2 linked regions of the Stegostoma tigrinum genome follow. The protein of the gene in region 2 purifies or fractionates together with the protein of the main gene of each other region. This does not show direct contact. Links are inferred from orthologs where the notes say so. Each region holds a gene or a part of one and is shown on either strand. Other genes may lie near its edges.

Region 1 (7,123 bases), on a different chromosome or scaffold from region 2:
CTTCAAAAAAGGTGATTCTAGCCTGAGATTAGATTAGCACATTGCAATCCACAACTTGATCAGTTGAAAAAGTGATCACTACCTGTTGCAGTATTCTTTGAACATTGGAAACAGTTTAAGACTGAATATCATACAAGGGCATTCGATACCCTTGCAAGCCCTCTCCTGCTAAGGAGTCAGTCTCAAACAGTAATTTGCTGTCTGCTGTTAAAAAGGCTAGAGTCTCCATGTTGGAAATATTCTAATTTAAATTAGAAAGGAGGGAGGTCAAAAGTAACTTAATTTAAGATTTTCATTGACTGCAGTTAGAATGCAAGGGATCAGGGTCAGAAGGGACATTATACAGTATCAAACAGTATGCAAATATAAGTGCTATCACTCACTGAATGCAGTATTGGTTGATCAATACTGCATCAACCAACTTACAGGAGGTTTAGGCTATTACATGATGGCTAAAACCTATTTGTTAAATAACTGCATGGATTTTGCATCTAGATCAAATTCTCTAATCACTTCCTAGCAGCAGCCCTTTGGACCTCATTGTGCAAGTCTGAATTGAGTAAGCTTGTGTATTTTTGAAATTTAGTTATCAGTACTTAGTAAACTAAAGTTAAAGTATCATGGGATGCATGCGTAGACACTCCAGGGTAGAAGTCTGATCCTCCGAAGTGATGTTCTTAGCAAAGAACTTCATAGTTGACTTGATAGTAGGAACTGCCAATACTGGAGAATCTGAGATAACAAGGTTTAGAGCTGGATGAACAGAGCAGGCCAAGCATCAGGAGAGCTGATGTTTCGGGCCTAGACCCTTGATCAGAAATCCCCCCTGAAGACTTGAGCTGAAACGTCAGCTTTCCTGCTCGGTTTGGTGTGTTCATCCAGCTGTACTGTACACCTTCATAGTTACCTATTTCTTGCTCCATGTTTCAACATGGAGCAATGGTATGAAGCATCACTACAAATTTAGTTTAACCAAATTAAACTAGTTTCCCATAGAAACAACACCCCATAGCTTAGAATGGCAAGTTCTAAACACGTGACTAGTTACAAATCAGACCCATGTTTTAGCGGTATGGGCAGCTGGTTATTTAGCACCTCCAAGGAGAAAGCAGATTGACACATCTACACAAAAGTGCTTTATTACAGATTTACACAGTCTCCTGCTTGCCCACTCACCTGTTTATAAACTGTAAGAGGCAAGTGACAGTTTAAACACTGTCAGTCAACTTTCAGATCAAACTGAATATGATGTCAATTTTAAGGGAGAGCAAGATAAACTCAATTTTCCCTGGCAGGGCATTGATAGTTATTGAAAGCCTTGCTTTTTCACATTCCATGCTCCTATGTCACCAGCTCAAGTAACACCCAGTTAAATTTGTTAAAAATGCCACTAGTAAGTCAGTTGGAATGTAACTTTAAACAGGCTAATTTATAAAGAGTGATACTTAGGGTAAGTTAGCAACTGAAGAACCCACTGTTTAGTTGCCCAATTTAATACCTGTTAAGTTACTGGAAAACCAATGCATTCTAACATCTTCAACTGTATTTAGATACCAAGTGTGAAAAATACACAAACTATGAAACAAAGTTGAGAAACACTACATAGGAATTAAAGATAAATACAAACAATTCTATTCAAGAATCCAACATATCTACAGCTAAAGACACCACTAAGTACAAACAAACCAAACGTTTAAAATGATCATATCTTAATTGATGAGTTGAGCCACTATCAAGCCCATTTTGGAAGCATAACTCAACATTAAAAATTACAAGCAAAGTTACAACTGGTTGAAAAAAGTTCAACTGTCTCACTGCTAGCTGAGAACATGGTCATGGGTTGCACATATAAAACAAGTTATTTACAGTACAAGAACTCAAATTTCAGTTTAAAACACTGAAGGGTCATTAAGCAATTGTCCCACTTCCACCTCAGATTAAAAGACAGGCAAACATTGGTGGGGTGGAAGCCTGGTACTGTTACCATTAGAAACATCTGCACTAGGCTCCATTTGGCAAAAAAAATCATTCATAGCCTGAACTCACTCCAATTTATTAAAAAACTAAATGAGATGGGCACCATCAGCATTCGAGGCCTGCAGTAAGGTAGAGCTTTAAACTAGGGGTGGGGTTAAAGAAGACAAGATTTTTTTATAAACCGTGCAAGCATTCACACATTTCCTCATACGGGCGACATTGTGAAACGGTGCCACGGTGTAATCCAAGGTTGAACCTCCACCCCCACCGATAATATTTCAAAGTGAAAAATTACGGCGAAATTGGGGGGGGGGGTAGGTTTGCAAAACGAGAGATATATAGAGAGAAGCAAATCCGGGGGGGGGATTAGGAATAATCTACAGGCGGGAGGGAGGTGGGGTCGAAGATTAGAGACGGGAGCGCTGTATGCGGGTGGGGATGACATTTACCCAGGGCTCGGTCTGAAGCGAAGGCCCATGTTACGGGGGGGGGGGGGGGGGGGAAGAAGAGAGAAGGTGTAGAGGTCAGGAGATGCAGGGGCGGGGGGGGGGGGGGGTGTTAAAATTTTTTGTTTAAAGTTAAGTTAAAAAAGAGAAAAAAAGTCATCGTTTACTGACGGACTGATTGAGCGAGTTACCTGCAGGTGCTCCTGGAAGCGGATGGGCAGGATCTGAGCCATGTCGACAGACGACGCTGGCGCTCAGCGGGTCCAAAAGGAAAGAAAAAACACACCGAGATCCTCCGGCGAGAGAATAAAAAACCAGCCAGGGAAGAGAGAGAGAGAGAGGCGAGTAAGTGCGGATCTGTGTGGGGGGAGAAATAATAAATACAAAAAAATATTATTTCTACATCGAATGACATCAGCCAAGAGGGAAATGTTCCAAAAACCCCTCCCTCAGACGGAAGGGGGTCAGGGGGAAAGCCCGTTATCACCGTGAAGGGAGGAGACGCCCTCTCAGAGACTCACCTGAAGCTGCTGCCCTTCCTGCCGCCCGCCTCCCCTTTTATAAACCGTCAACGGGGCCCCCACGGAGCCGCAGCGGGAGCCGCAATGGCGGAAAACCGGAAACGGCGGAGCGCTACCCCTGCACCCGGTGACACGCCCCTCCACCCAGACCGTCAGATCAAAGCGAGGTGAGGGGGGGTGGGGTCACTTCGGCAAGCCCACCCGCTGTGTAACTAAAAAAAACAACAGACAACCCCCACACGCCCGTCCACCCCTTCGCTCATTGCAACCATATACGAGTAAAACTTGGTCTTTCGGGTACCGCCCCCCTTCAGATTTGACGGCGAAAACTGGGAAGCGGGGGTGGGCGGAAATGGGACTTTTTTCGGTCGGCGGAGAGTTTTCCTTCGGGCGGCCACATCATTGGCACATGATTAAGCATCACTTCCGCCTGGGCTTCCGGGTTTCTCCACCTTCCGCCTTCAGCTCCTCATTCATTGCAAAGGCTGGCCCTGCTGTATCTGCAATGATGGAGGGAAGGTTGTTGTGTCCTCTCTCTCGGCCTTTTGGAGATTTTTAAAATATATTCCAGCAATAAAATTAGTGCATTCCCCAAAAAAAAGTGTATGTGTGAGTTCATACAAATAAATGAAGTAGATTTTATCTTTCATGTCCCAGTCTTTAATTTTTGGAACAGAGGACATTCCATGGAATGATGAAGTCACTTAAGGTACGGGGAGGCCATTCGCTCCATGATGACTGTCTCAGAGCACTTCAGTCTCATTCCTCTACCGTAGCCTCATAACCGGGCAAGTTTATTTCCCTCGAGTCCCCATCTAATTTCCCAGAAGGAACAAATCAGCTTAGCAATGAAAAGTAACACTTGGAAATTAACAGAGATAATGGGAACTGCAGATGCCGGAGAATTCCAAGATAATAAAATGTGAGGCTGGATGAACACAGCAGGCCAAGCAGCATCTCAGGAGCACAAAAGCATCTTCGGTCCGCCTCCCCCTCTCTCCCTATTTATTCCAGTTCCCTCTCCCCATCCCCCTCTCTGATGAAGGGTCCAGGCCCGAAACGTCAGCTTTTGTGCTCCTGAGATGCTGCTTGGCCTGCTGTGTTCATCCAGCCTCACATTTTATTAACTTGGAAATTAACACACTGATTATCTGTTTTGAAGAGTACAAGTTGAACAAGTGTATCATATCCAGTTTTGCTTTCTGGGAAGTCATCAATCATTACTTAATGATTTTCGGGATGGTTGAGGATGTTGGGTTGACACCACAGTCACATCAGCTATGATCTTACTTATTGGCAGAGCTGGCTTGAGATCTGAATGACCTACTCCTGCTTCTCATTTATATGATGATATGCAGTGTGCTATATGTAGCTATGCTGAAATGGTTTCTTGCTCTAGAGAAAGAAAAATTGGGTTGATATTAAATTACATGATCACCTCTCAATGACTCAAGCTGTGACTCAACAGTTCTTAACTCTGGATGACCTATTCTGGGAGATTTCACTTCATGACCTCCAACTTTCCACTACTGCTTGACCACACTCCTTCTGTTGGTCATTCAGTGTGTCAATCATTACACACAACCCTTTCCCAAAGTAACAACGTGTGGAGCTGGATGAACACAGCAGGCCAAGCAGCATCTTAGGAGCAGGAAAGCTGACATTTCAGGCCTAGACCCATCATCAGAAATGGGGGAGGAAAGAGGGTTCTGAAATAAATAGAGAGAAAGGGGAGGCCGATTGAAGATGGATACAGGAGACAGACAAGTTAAAGGAGCAGGGATGGAGCCTGTAGAGGTGAGTGTCGGTGGGGAGGTAGGGAGGAGATAGGTCAGTCTGGGGAGGACAGACAGGTCAAGGGGGCGGGTTGAGGTTAGTAGGTAAGGAATGGGGGTGCAGCTTGAGGTGGGAGGAGGGGACAGGAGAGAGGAAGAACACGTTAGGGAGGCGGGGACAAGCTGGGCTGGTTTTGGGATGCGGTGGGGGGCCGGGGAGATTTTGAAGCTTGTGAAATCCACGCTGATACCATTGGGTTGCAGGGTTCCCAAGCGGAATATGAGTTGCTGTTCCTGCAACATTCGGGTGGTATCGTTGTGGCACTGCAGGAGGCCCAGGATGGATATGTCTTCTGAAGAGGAGTTGAAATGGTTCGTGTCTGCGAGGTGCAGCTGTTTATTGTGAACCGAGCGTAGGCGTTCTGCAAAGCAGTCCCCAAGCCTCCGCTTGGTTTCGCCAATGTAGAGGAAGCCACAATGGGTACAGCGGATTCAGTATATCACATTAGCAGATGTGCAAGTGGACTTCTGCTTGATGTGGAAAGTCTTCTTGTGGCCTGGGATGGGGATGAGGGAGGAGGTGTGGGGGCAGGTGTAGCACTCCCTGCGGTTGCAGGGGAAAGTGCCGGGTGTGGTGGGGTTGGAGGGGAGTGTGGAGGAGACAAAGGAGTCATGGAGAGAGTGGTCTCTCCAGAAGGCAGACAAGGGTGGGGAGGGAAAAATGTCTTTGGTGGTGGGATCAGATTTCAGATGGTGGCAGTGTCGGAGGATGATGCATTGGATCTGGAGGTTGGTGGGGTGGTATGTGAGGACGAGGGGGATTCTCTTTTGGTTGTTATTATGGGGACGGGGTGTGAGGGATAAGTTGCAGGAAATGCGGGAGACGCGGTCGAGGGCATCCTTGACCACTGCGGGGGGACGTTGTGGTCCTTGAAAAATTAGAACACCTATGGGAGTGGAATGCCTTATCCTGGGAACAGATGTGGCAGAGGCGAAGGAATTGGGAATAGGGGATGGCATTTTTGAGGGAAGGTGGATGGGAGGAGGTGTATTCTAGGTAGCTGCGGGAGTTGGTGGGCTTGAAGTGGATATCGGTTTCTAGGTGGTTGCCCGAGATGGAGACAGAGAGGTCCAGGAAGGTGAGGGATGTGTTTGAGATAGTCCAGGTGAACTTGGGGTGGAAGGTGTTGGCGAAGTGGATGAACTGTTTGAGCTCCTCATGGGAGCACGAGGCGGCGCCGATACAGTCATCAATGTAATGGAGGAAGAGGTGGAGTTTAGGGCCATACAATTTTAACCTTTCCCAAAGTTTTCATTGTGTCCTGATTTTGACTTTTGTGAGTTTGGTCATGATTACACTGAGGCAAGTGATTAAGGCTTGCACCAGAAAGATAGCATCTTAGAGGGTCAAGGTTTTGGCACAGAGTGTTAAAGTTTATGCCCTGTACAAAAGTAATGCAGTTTCAATCAACGGATGGGAATCAGAAAACAATCCTAACAGGTTTGGAGTCATGCAGAGCTGTGCTCTTTCCTGTGATCTATGTGTTGGATAGAACCCTTTTGCCAAGTCAATCAAAAAGAATGTGAAAATAAGAAGGGTGACCATCCAGGTAGTGGAGGCACTGAGGTCAGAGCTTTTCTGTAGGTGGGCAATGTCATCATCTTCTGCTCAGTTCCACTGACGATGAATAGACCGATTTGAACTTGAATCAGGAGGCAAGATAAATTGAGCAAAGAGCAAGGCCACGCTTTTTGGGAACTGAGCCAACTAAACCTTTGTTCTTCATTGTCGGGTCAGATTACCTGAAGATGCTCGGATATGGTTTGGAGGGGCCAGGGTACGTGAACAAGTAACTGTTATAAAACAAAGCATGGGTACAGAGGAATGATGCTCCCTCTCCGTTGCAGGTAAGAACCTAGTCATCAGTTGCTGTGCTCTCAATGTTGCAGGCCTGGCCCATTCTTCACTCCTGCACCACAGTGGTCACCTGAGATATTTTCCACTTTATCTGGAGGTTGAAGAAGGACTATGCTCACAGAGACACACCCTTCATATGCAAATACAAATGTTTACAGGTTCTACCTGCCCCTGGGTGTTACAAAGAATGGGTCCATCCACATTGTTGTAGAACACTGAAACTAGATGGACTTTGCTGTATCACCTATCCCTCGTGGAGTAGTTTCTACCAAAAAAATTCAGGAAGTGGTCTTCACCTGACAGCCTCTCGACCTTGTGGCAAAGGGAGATGGCAGATCCTGTCAGATGGTTTCCATGTGTAAGCTGTCAAAGTCATTTGGTAGAATACTTCGCCGCCAGAACTAACAAAAACAAGCACCAAGGCATGGCTGGGTATGATGTGAGAAAGGCCCTCCCTGCCAAATCCTTCCTACAAACTCAGAATCT
Region 2 (7,904 bases):
GGCCAGCCCTATGGCCCTCTGGGACTGTGGTGACTTGACTGAATCAGGGTATTGAATGAGCTCAGTAGAATTCTCTAGAACTAGTTGAGTGGACCAACGTCCTTTCCTGGAGAAAGGTAAAGTGGGTAGTCCAGCAAGGTCACTGTATTGGATAAGGGTTAGACATTGTTAGACTTTCCAGGCACTGGGTGAGGTTGGGGGTCTCCTTTGGTCAAACACATCATTATGGGGAGATAGTGGCGATGTGTTGTTGTTACTGGTCTGATCATCTAGAACCCCATGCTCTAACTGACCACAGCAGTTGGTGAACTTAGAATTCAACAAAAATCTGGAAGTTATCTTAATGCTGACCATGAAGGCACTGTCAGTTTTCTGTGAAAAAACCCCATCTATTTCATCATGCTGTTTAGGGGAAGAAAATCTGCCATTGTTACCTGGTCTGGCACACTTGGTCTCCAAACCACGGTGGCTCAGTGGTTAGCACTGCAGCCTCACAGCAGCAGAAACCCTGGTTTGATTCCACATTTGGGCGACTGTGTGCAGTTTGCACATTCTCCCCGTGTCTGTGTGGGTTTTCTCCCACAGTTCAAAGATGTGCAGGCTATGTGGATTGGCCATACTAAGTCGCCCATAGTGCTCAGGGATGTGTAGATTAGGGGGATGGGTCTGGGCGGAATGTTCCGAGGGTCAGCGTGGACTTGTTGGGCTGAATGGCCTGTTCCTACACTGCAGGGATTCTATGAACTAAAGACCCACAACAGTATTGACTCTTTACTATCCTCTGAAATGTCAGTCCAGAGCAATTCGGGATGGGCAAGAAATGCTTGATGCCCACCTCCCGTGAATGAAGACAAGGCTGTCCAAGATCAATTCAAATGGGGGAGAAAGGTGGATCTGCAGAAAGGGTGCACAACACAGTACTGTATACAGCTTCTGCATCATGAGTTAACATTAGCTATGCACCAATATCTCCCTAGACCAGGTGCAGTGTTACTCCAAAACAGTATAGTCAATGCATTTGAAAGCAAGGTGAAGGAAGGAAAGTCCTTCAAGGGTCCAGTAACCTCCAGATCTTCATTCAGAAAAACTGAAGCCAGGGAAATCAACAGAATATGGTGGTGAACAATAAGAGCCCAACAAGACTTTCAGTTTTGGCAAAGATGATTGCAGCTTCCAAGTTAATTAACAAGGCCACGTCTTAAGACATTAAGAAAGTTGTAGTTTCTTAAGTGAGTTTGATAAAATGTAGTAACACTTAAGTGTCTCCTAATTGATTTATTAGATCATTGTGTTTTTCTGCAATATTTCTGGTCAATGTTATGGAGCATCTAGATTTTATAGGTAGGAGCAATACGTATACACTCATGTTGAAGGAGAGAAAAAATGCAGTATTGAAAACTACAACATAGTGATACTGGTCAGAAAAAAGATGTTAATTTACATATAGCCATTCCACTAAGTCTTGTTTTACCTAAAAAGAAGGAAATTACAGATTTTTGTGAAATCTGAAATCACCTTAGAGAAACAAATAGGGTTCAACTGCCCTGGTGATAACCCATCTCAAACTAGGCCTCAACTCAGTAACTGTCATAAAATAATGATGGTTTCAATTATCTCCAATATCTGCAATATTAGTGTGGGAAAGCCAGAACATTTTATTCCCTCAAAGTTGGCACATTGCAAATGAAGAAAACACATTGAAATCTGAGTCTCTGAGGGAACCCTAATTAGCTCTTATTATTTTAACTAATAAATACATTATAACCTATTGCATATTCACCATTTGTCACACTCTTAACCTAAACTGTCATTTTTCTTTAATGGTAATTGAATTAGTGACTCAGCCATTAAACAGATAATAGAAAAAAAAATCTTGTCAGCGCCAAACATGTAACTGAACATAATGATTTCTGCCTTTCTTTTCGCCAAACACAGAACGAGTTATCCTCGGAGTTTATTGTAGAGTTGTAAAAATATCTGGGCCAAAATTTAACGATTGAATATTTTAAAACCCCCAACGTTTATTGCAGTACTCAATGACAAATCATTTCGTTTCTTTTTAAAAGAATCTATTGTTAAACATAAAACGACCAGATTATCCAAACTCAAAACAGAATGTCAAAATGTTCTAACTCGTTTTCTAACCAACAATTCAAAACGTAAAGATCTGTAAAGTTGGAGGCAGGAGATGAATTTCCATTGTTACCAAAACAGGGTTTAAAAAGGGGCGATTTTCCTGTAAAAATGGCTTCCAAAATATGAACAGAACAACAATAAACCTTCACGTCCTTCAGGAAGCCCTATCCCACGAATTATCATAAGGATAGCTTCAGACACTGTTACAAAAACGACATATCGATCAATGATTCACAAATATTAGGCAGATTCATTTCTGACATTGAGAAAAAGTGAGGAAATAATTGAAATTCACTTCAACACCAACAAAAAAAAACATCTTTTAAGTACAAAGATTCTGAGGATTAGGGTGCGTGCACGCATTGTCCTCAGGCCACCCCGATCTCCAGCGCGCTTTCCCTTTGTTAAACTACTGGCGACGTTTCCATCCTTGCTGCCTGCAACCGATCCCTATTTTCTATCTCTCCTCTCGCTACCCCCTCCCCCTTCTCGCTCTCACTGATCTGCCTGTGTCCTTCTCGCAGCTGTTTAAAAGAATCCACACCGGTATATCCCCTCCGCCCCCACCCCAGTCAGCTGAGAGAAGGTCAAAGGCAAATTGGAGAGAAAAAGAAAAACAGCAACAGTCCCGCAGAGAAAGGGGGGAGGGTGGTGCTGCGTGGAGGAGGAGAGACAGGGACACACATACACAAGTCACACTCTTCCCCAAGTGGTATATTTCTCCCCCTTCTCTCTCGGTCGGCCTCCTCTTTGCTCCCCGCGCTGCTCGACCACCTACCGAAGCTTCTTCTCTGTTTGAATGACTTGTCAGAAGGCATTTTCTGAGCAGGAGAACCCGAGAATAATCAGCTTAAGCGGACGGTGCAGTTCCTGATGTGTCCAAGCACAGAGCGATGTAACAAACCGCATCACGTGAACACTTTGACGTCAACGCAAAAGATACTTCAAGGGGAGGACCCGGGGAAGAAAGTGACAAGTTCTCCAGTGTTCAAACACCACCCCCACCCCACATTCCTCTCACAAACACCACCACCCCCCCCCGCCAAACACACACAAAGGGAGCAGCACACTTCATCGCTTTGTTTTCGGTTGAAGACCAGCCGTTGAACGGCATTCGAACGAAACACAACAATCTCAACTTAGATCATATTTACATTCAACGACAAAAGATTGTTACAGTTATCATGAGGTGTCGATTTTAATTTTTACGGAATTGCTCGGCAGAAGGTGTGGACTTATGTCCGCTTGCAGTGATAAATGATAAAATATCACGCCGTTCGTTGATCTTAGTGGACACACGGAATAGTTTTGTTTACTTCACCTTTAAAGCGTGGTAGGGTTTTTAAAAACAAAGCCAGAAATTGCTGGACAGACTCAGCAGGTCTGAAGAAAGGTCACTGGACTCGAAATGTTAACTTTTTCTCTCTCCACAGACGCTTCCAGACCTGCTGAGTTTCCCCAGCATTCTCCGTTTTCGGTCAGAGATCTTGGGATTCTCTGTTTTTGTTTGTTTCAGCTCCTCACCATCCGCGGTTCTTTGTTTTTAGTTTATTTTCCTTCCCTGGTGATTCAGTGTTTGGGTGAGGTCACAGGTCCATTCGGAAGATTAGTTAACGCTTTGATGTGATACTGAGAACTGACATTGCTGAAGTGGTTTAAACCTTCATCCGCCGTCTCCGCGGACTGCCTTAAAACGAAATTTGATAAAGATTACATGGAGAAGATGTGGCGGAGACATAAATTGAGATCCTAAATATAAGATCATCGCCACTCCAGTAGATAATTAAAAAGAAATGACTTTATCCAGAGCATGCAGAGCCGAAAGGAAGCAATTAACTCAGGGTTTTATGAAATTGTTTTTTGAGATGAGAGTCACTAACAAGGCCAATATTTATTGACAATTCCCAATTGTTTCTGACCACCACTTTCCTGAACCATTGCAGAGGTGCACCACTTGTGCTGTTTTTCTGTAGCAGTTTTGTGCAACTTATTAGATTGCTACAAAAACAGAAATTATTTGAGAAACTCAGCAAGTCTGGCAGCGTCAGCAGCTTGGACTCAACGTGTGAACTCTACCTTCTCTCTGCAGATGTTGCCAGGCCTGAGTTTTTTTCCAATCATTTCCTGTTTTGTTCCAGATTTCCAGCATCCACAGTTTTTTTGTTTTATTTTGGTAGCTTACGAATTCATTTCAGAGGGCAGATTAATCAGGCACAGTACTGTGGGTCTGTAGGCTAGGCCATGTCAGGTTAAGACAGCAGATATACCCTCCTCTGGAAAAATAGCATATTTCCTTTTAACAGAAAACAAGTGCTGGAGATCACAGCAGATCAGACAGCATTCATGGAGAGAAAATGTTTTGAATCTAGATGACTCTTCAATAGAATTTGATTTTAATATAGCGAAACAGTAGCTTCATGTTTGTTATTAACAATTTCAATAAAGACTTACAAATTAATTAAATTTAAAATCTGGTTACCAAGGCTGAAATCATACTATTGGAGCAGGCCCCGAAGGGGCAGCGGGATATGCTGCTCAAACAGAAATGAATGCAATGACTCTCTGATGGGGAAGATGAAGCAGGGCAGGATGAGGCTTATTTGAAGTTGAAACAATGGCACAACCCAATTGGATCAAATGATCTATTTCAGTGCTGTCATTACTGGGTAGTTCTGAGTCAGGTTATTGTTCCATTTATAGCTCCCACCCACCTCACACTGCCCAAATTCCACCCCAGGTGCAGACTAAACCACCATTCTCACCATGAAGTGTAATTCTTGTTTAACTCCATGAAGGATGAGAACTCACCAGGAGGGAATAGTTTTGTCCATGCTGCATTTTTACACAGAGATCACAAGATGTAGAGCTGAATGAACACAGCAGGCCAAGCAGCATCAGAGAAGCAGGAAAGCTGATGTTTCGGGCTGAGACCCTTCTTCAGAGAGACCCTTCTTGATTCTCCAGCATATGCAGTTCCTTCTGTCTCTGAAACAGTATTTTTATATGTCATTTTTACCAGTGTTTGTTTCTCTGCTGTAAAGCCCAGACGATAAATATCAGATGAAATTAACCTGTATCTCATATACTGGATTTTACAGCAGGTTACTGCAATGTTTTACCACATTCACAGTGGCACTTATGCTTAGTTGAATTTTGCATCGTCATCTGGAAATAACTTGGCAATATCAGACCCTCCATGATTAATCGTCGTTCATGTGAGGCAGGATGTGTGTTAGCAGCTGTACAATAGAATTAGTGTGAGATCTCATTTCAGGTGGAACTATGATTTTTTTTAATTCTTTGCGCAATAGACTCAGAAGTATCTTTCTGATTAATTGTGTGTTAATTGTGTTCAGATGATGGGCATTAACTCTGACAGGAATTGAATCTGTATGGATACAGACTAATGCTGCATGATTTTCATTGGAAGTCATAGAGATATACAGCACAGAAATAGAGTCTTTAGTCCAATTCATCCATGCCAACCAGACATCCCACTCTGACCTAGTCCTGTTTGCCAACATTTGTCCCCTATCCTGCCAAACCCTTCCAATTCATTCCATCCAAATGCCTTTTAAATCTTGTACCTGCAACAGCCTCCACCACCTCCTCTGGCAGCTTGTGTCATGTACGCACCACCCTCTGCATGAAAAAATTGTTCTTTAGATCCCTTTTAAATCTTTTCCCTCTCATCTTAAACCTATGCCCTCTCCTTTTGGGCTCTCCCACCCTGGGAAAAAGACTTGGCTATTCACTGTAATCATGCCGCTCATGATTTTATAAACCTCTATAAGGTCACCCTCACCCTCCGAAACTCCAGGGTTAAAAGCCCCAGCATATTCAGCCTCTCCCTATAGCTCAAACTCCCCAGAGCCAGCAACATTCTTGTAAATCTTTTCTGCACTCAAGTTTAATAACATCTTTCCTACAGTAGGGTGACCTGAACTGCACACAGTATTCTAAAAAGTGGTCTCACCAATGACTTGACCTGCTGCAACATGATGTCCCGAATCCTATACTCAGTGCTCTGACAACTGAAGGCAAGTGTGCCAAATGCCTTCTTCACCATCCCTATCCACCCACTTTCAAGGAACTATGCACCTGCATGCCCTAGGTCTCTTTGTTCAGCAACCCTCCCCAGAGCCCTAACATTAATGTACAAGTCCTGTCCTGCTTTGGCTTACCAAATTGCAACACTCGAGTTTAAATTAAACTCCATCTGCCACTCCTCTGCGCATCAGCCCATCAGAACAAAGTTCCAGTGTGCTCCGAGATAATCTTCTTCGTTGTCCACTACACCAGTTATTTTGGTGTCATCTGCAAACTTAACTAACCATGCCTCCTATTTGTATAAATGATGAAAAGCAGTGTGTTGTATGCTCATTCTGTATAAATCTGTAAATAAATATAATAGTGTGTGAACATTGGTGCCAGTTCTATCTTGCTTCAACTGGCTTTCACAAATAGAACATCCCTAACATCTTCATAACTTACACAAATGGCAAAAATGGTCAACAAAAAGCTTCAAAGGGATAGAACTCAAAAATGTTTGCTTTTATGTAATGCTTTTTACACCCACCCACAGAAAGTATCAAAGAGCTTTACAGCCAAATCAATACTTCTGAACCAATTTCACTGTTGTAGAAATTGTGGGAAAAATGGCAAATGACCTGTGTGGGTCAAACTTTCACAAACAGCACTCTGAACATGACAAGATAGCCTGTGTTTTGTGATATTGATTGAGAGATGTGTAAACATTGACAAGACACCTGGGTCTGAAGAAGAGGCAAGAGTCATACTTGAAATGTTAACTTTGTTTGCCTCTGCACAGAAGCTGCCAAACCTGCTGAGTTTCCCAGCAATGTTTTTATATGAGTGATAACTTTACTGATCTTCATCAAGTTTGTACTCTGGGATCTTTTACACCCTCCTGTCTGGCAGCTAGAGCTACAGAGTAATGTTTCATCACAGATAACTTCGCCAAAGGCAGAGAAGCTAAATGCATTTGTATAAAATCAAACTACTGCCGATGCTGGGAATTTGAAATTTAGACAGAAATGCTGCAGAACTGTCAGGCAGCATCTGCGGAGAGAAAAACAGAGTTAATATTTTGAGTCCAAGACGAATCTTCTTTGGATTGTGATGCTTCTTCAACAGATGCTACCTGACCCGTTAAGTCCTACAGCACTTTCTGTTTTTATTGCATTTATATAGCGCTCTTCACAGGAATTGTTGAAATATGGTCACTACTGTAATGTAGAAAATATACCTGCCAATTTGCACACGGCGAACTCCCACAAACAGCAAGGTGATACTTACCAGATAATCTAATGTTGCAATGTGCATTGATGAATAAATATTGCCCAAAACACCAGAGATAAGTCCCTTACTCTTCTTCAAAATAGAGTCATAGGGTCATCAGAGCGTACAGCATGGAAGCAGGCCCTTCAGCCCAACTTGCCCACGCCACCCAGTTTTCATAACTAAACTAGACCCTTTTGCCTGCATTTGGCCCGTATCCCTCTTTACCCATCCCATCCATGTACATGTCTAAATGTTTCTTAAATGACAAAACTGTAATTGCTTTCACCATCACCTCTGGTGGCCTGATACAGACACTCACTACATTCTGTACGAAACATTGCCCCTCTGGATCCTTTTGTATCTCTCCACTCTCACCTTAAACATATGCCTTCTAGTTTTGGATTTCCCTACCATGGTGAAAGGCTGTTGGTCATTTACCTTATCTATGCCTCTCCTGATTTTAT

What was found. Proteins that work in one complex are often made in the same cells at the same time.
Region 1: the proteins of microtubule-associated proteins 1A/1B light chain 3A (region 2) and cltcb purify together in Homo sapiens (affinity purification with mass spectrometry; 3 studies listed by BioGRID and IntAct, with this or other methods). This does not show direct contact. The link is inferred for Stegostoma tigrinum from reciprocal best matches to the Homo sapiens genes MAP1LC3A and CLTC.

Annotation. Positions count from the first base shown.
Region 1 is NC_081380.1:42,416,170-42,423,292, reverse strand, and holds the start of cltcb (clathrin, heavy chain b (Hc)), read right to left. Parts: upstream 3,082-7,123; 5' UTR 2,945-3,081; intron 2,781-2,944; 5' UTR 2,657-2,780; coding exon 2,615-2,656; intron 1-2,614. UniProt on the Homo sapiens protein: Clathrin is the major protein of the polyhedral coat of coated pits and vesicles. Two different adapter protein complexes link the clathrin lattice either to the plasma membrane or to the trans-Golgi network.
Region 2 is NC_081372.1:12,785,807-12,793,710, reverse strand, and holds the start of microtubule-associated proteins 1A/1B light chain 3A, read right to left. Parts: upstream 3,059-7,904; 5' UTR 2,955-3,058; coding exon 2,915-2,954; intron 1-2,914. UniProt on the Homo sapiens protein: Ubiquitin-like modifier involved in formation of autophagosomal vacuoles (autophagosomes). While LC3s are involved in elongation of the phagophore membrane, the GABARAP/GATE-16 subfamily is essential for a later stage in autophagosome maturation.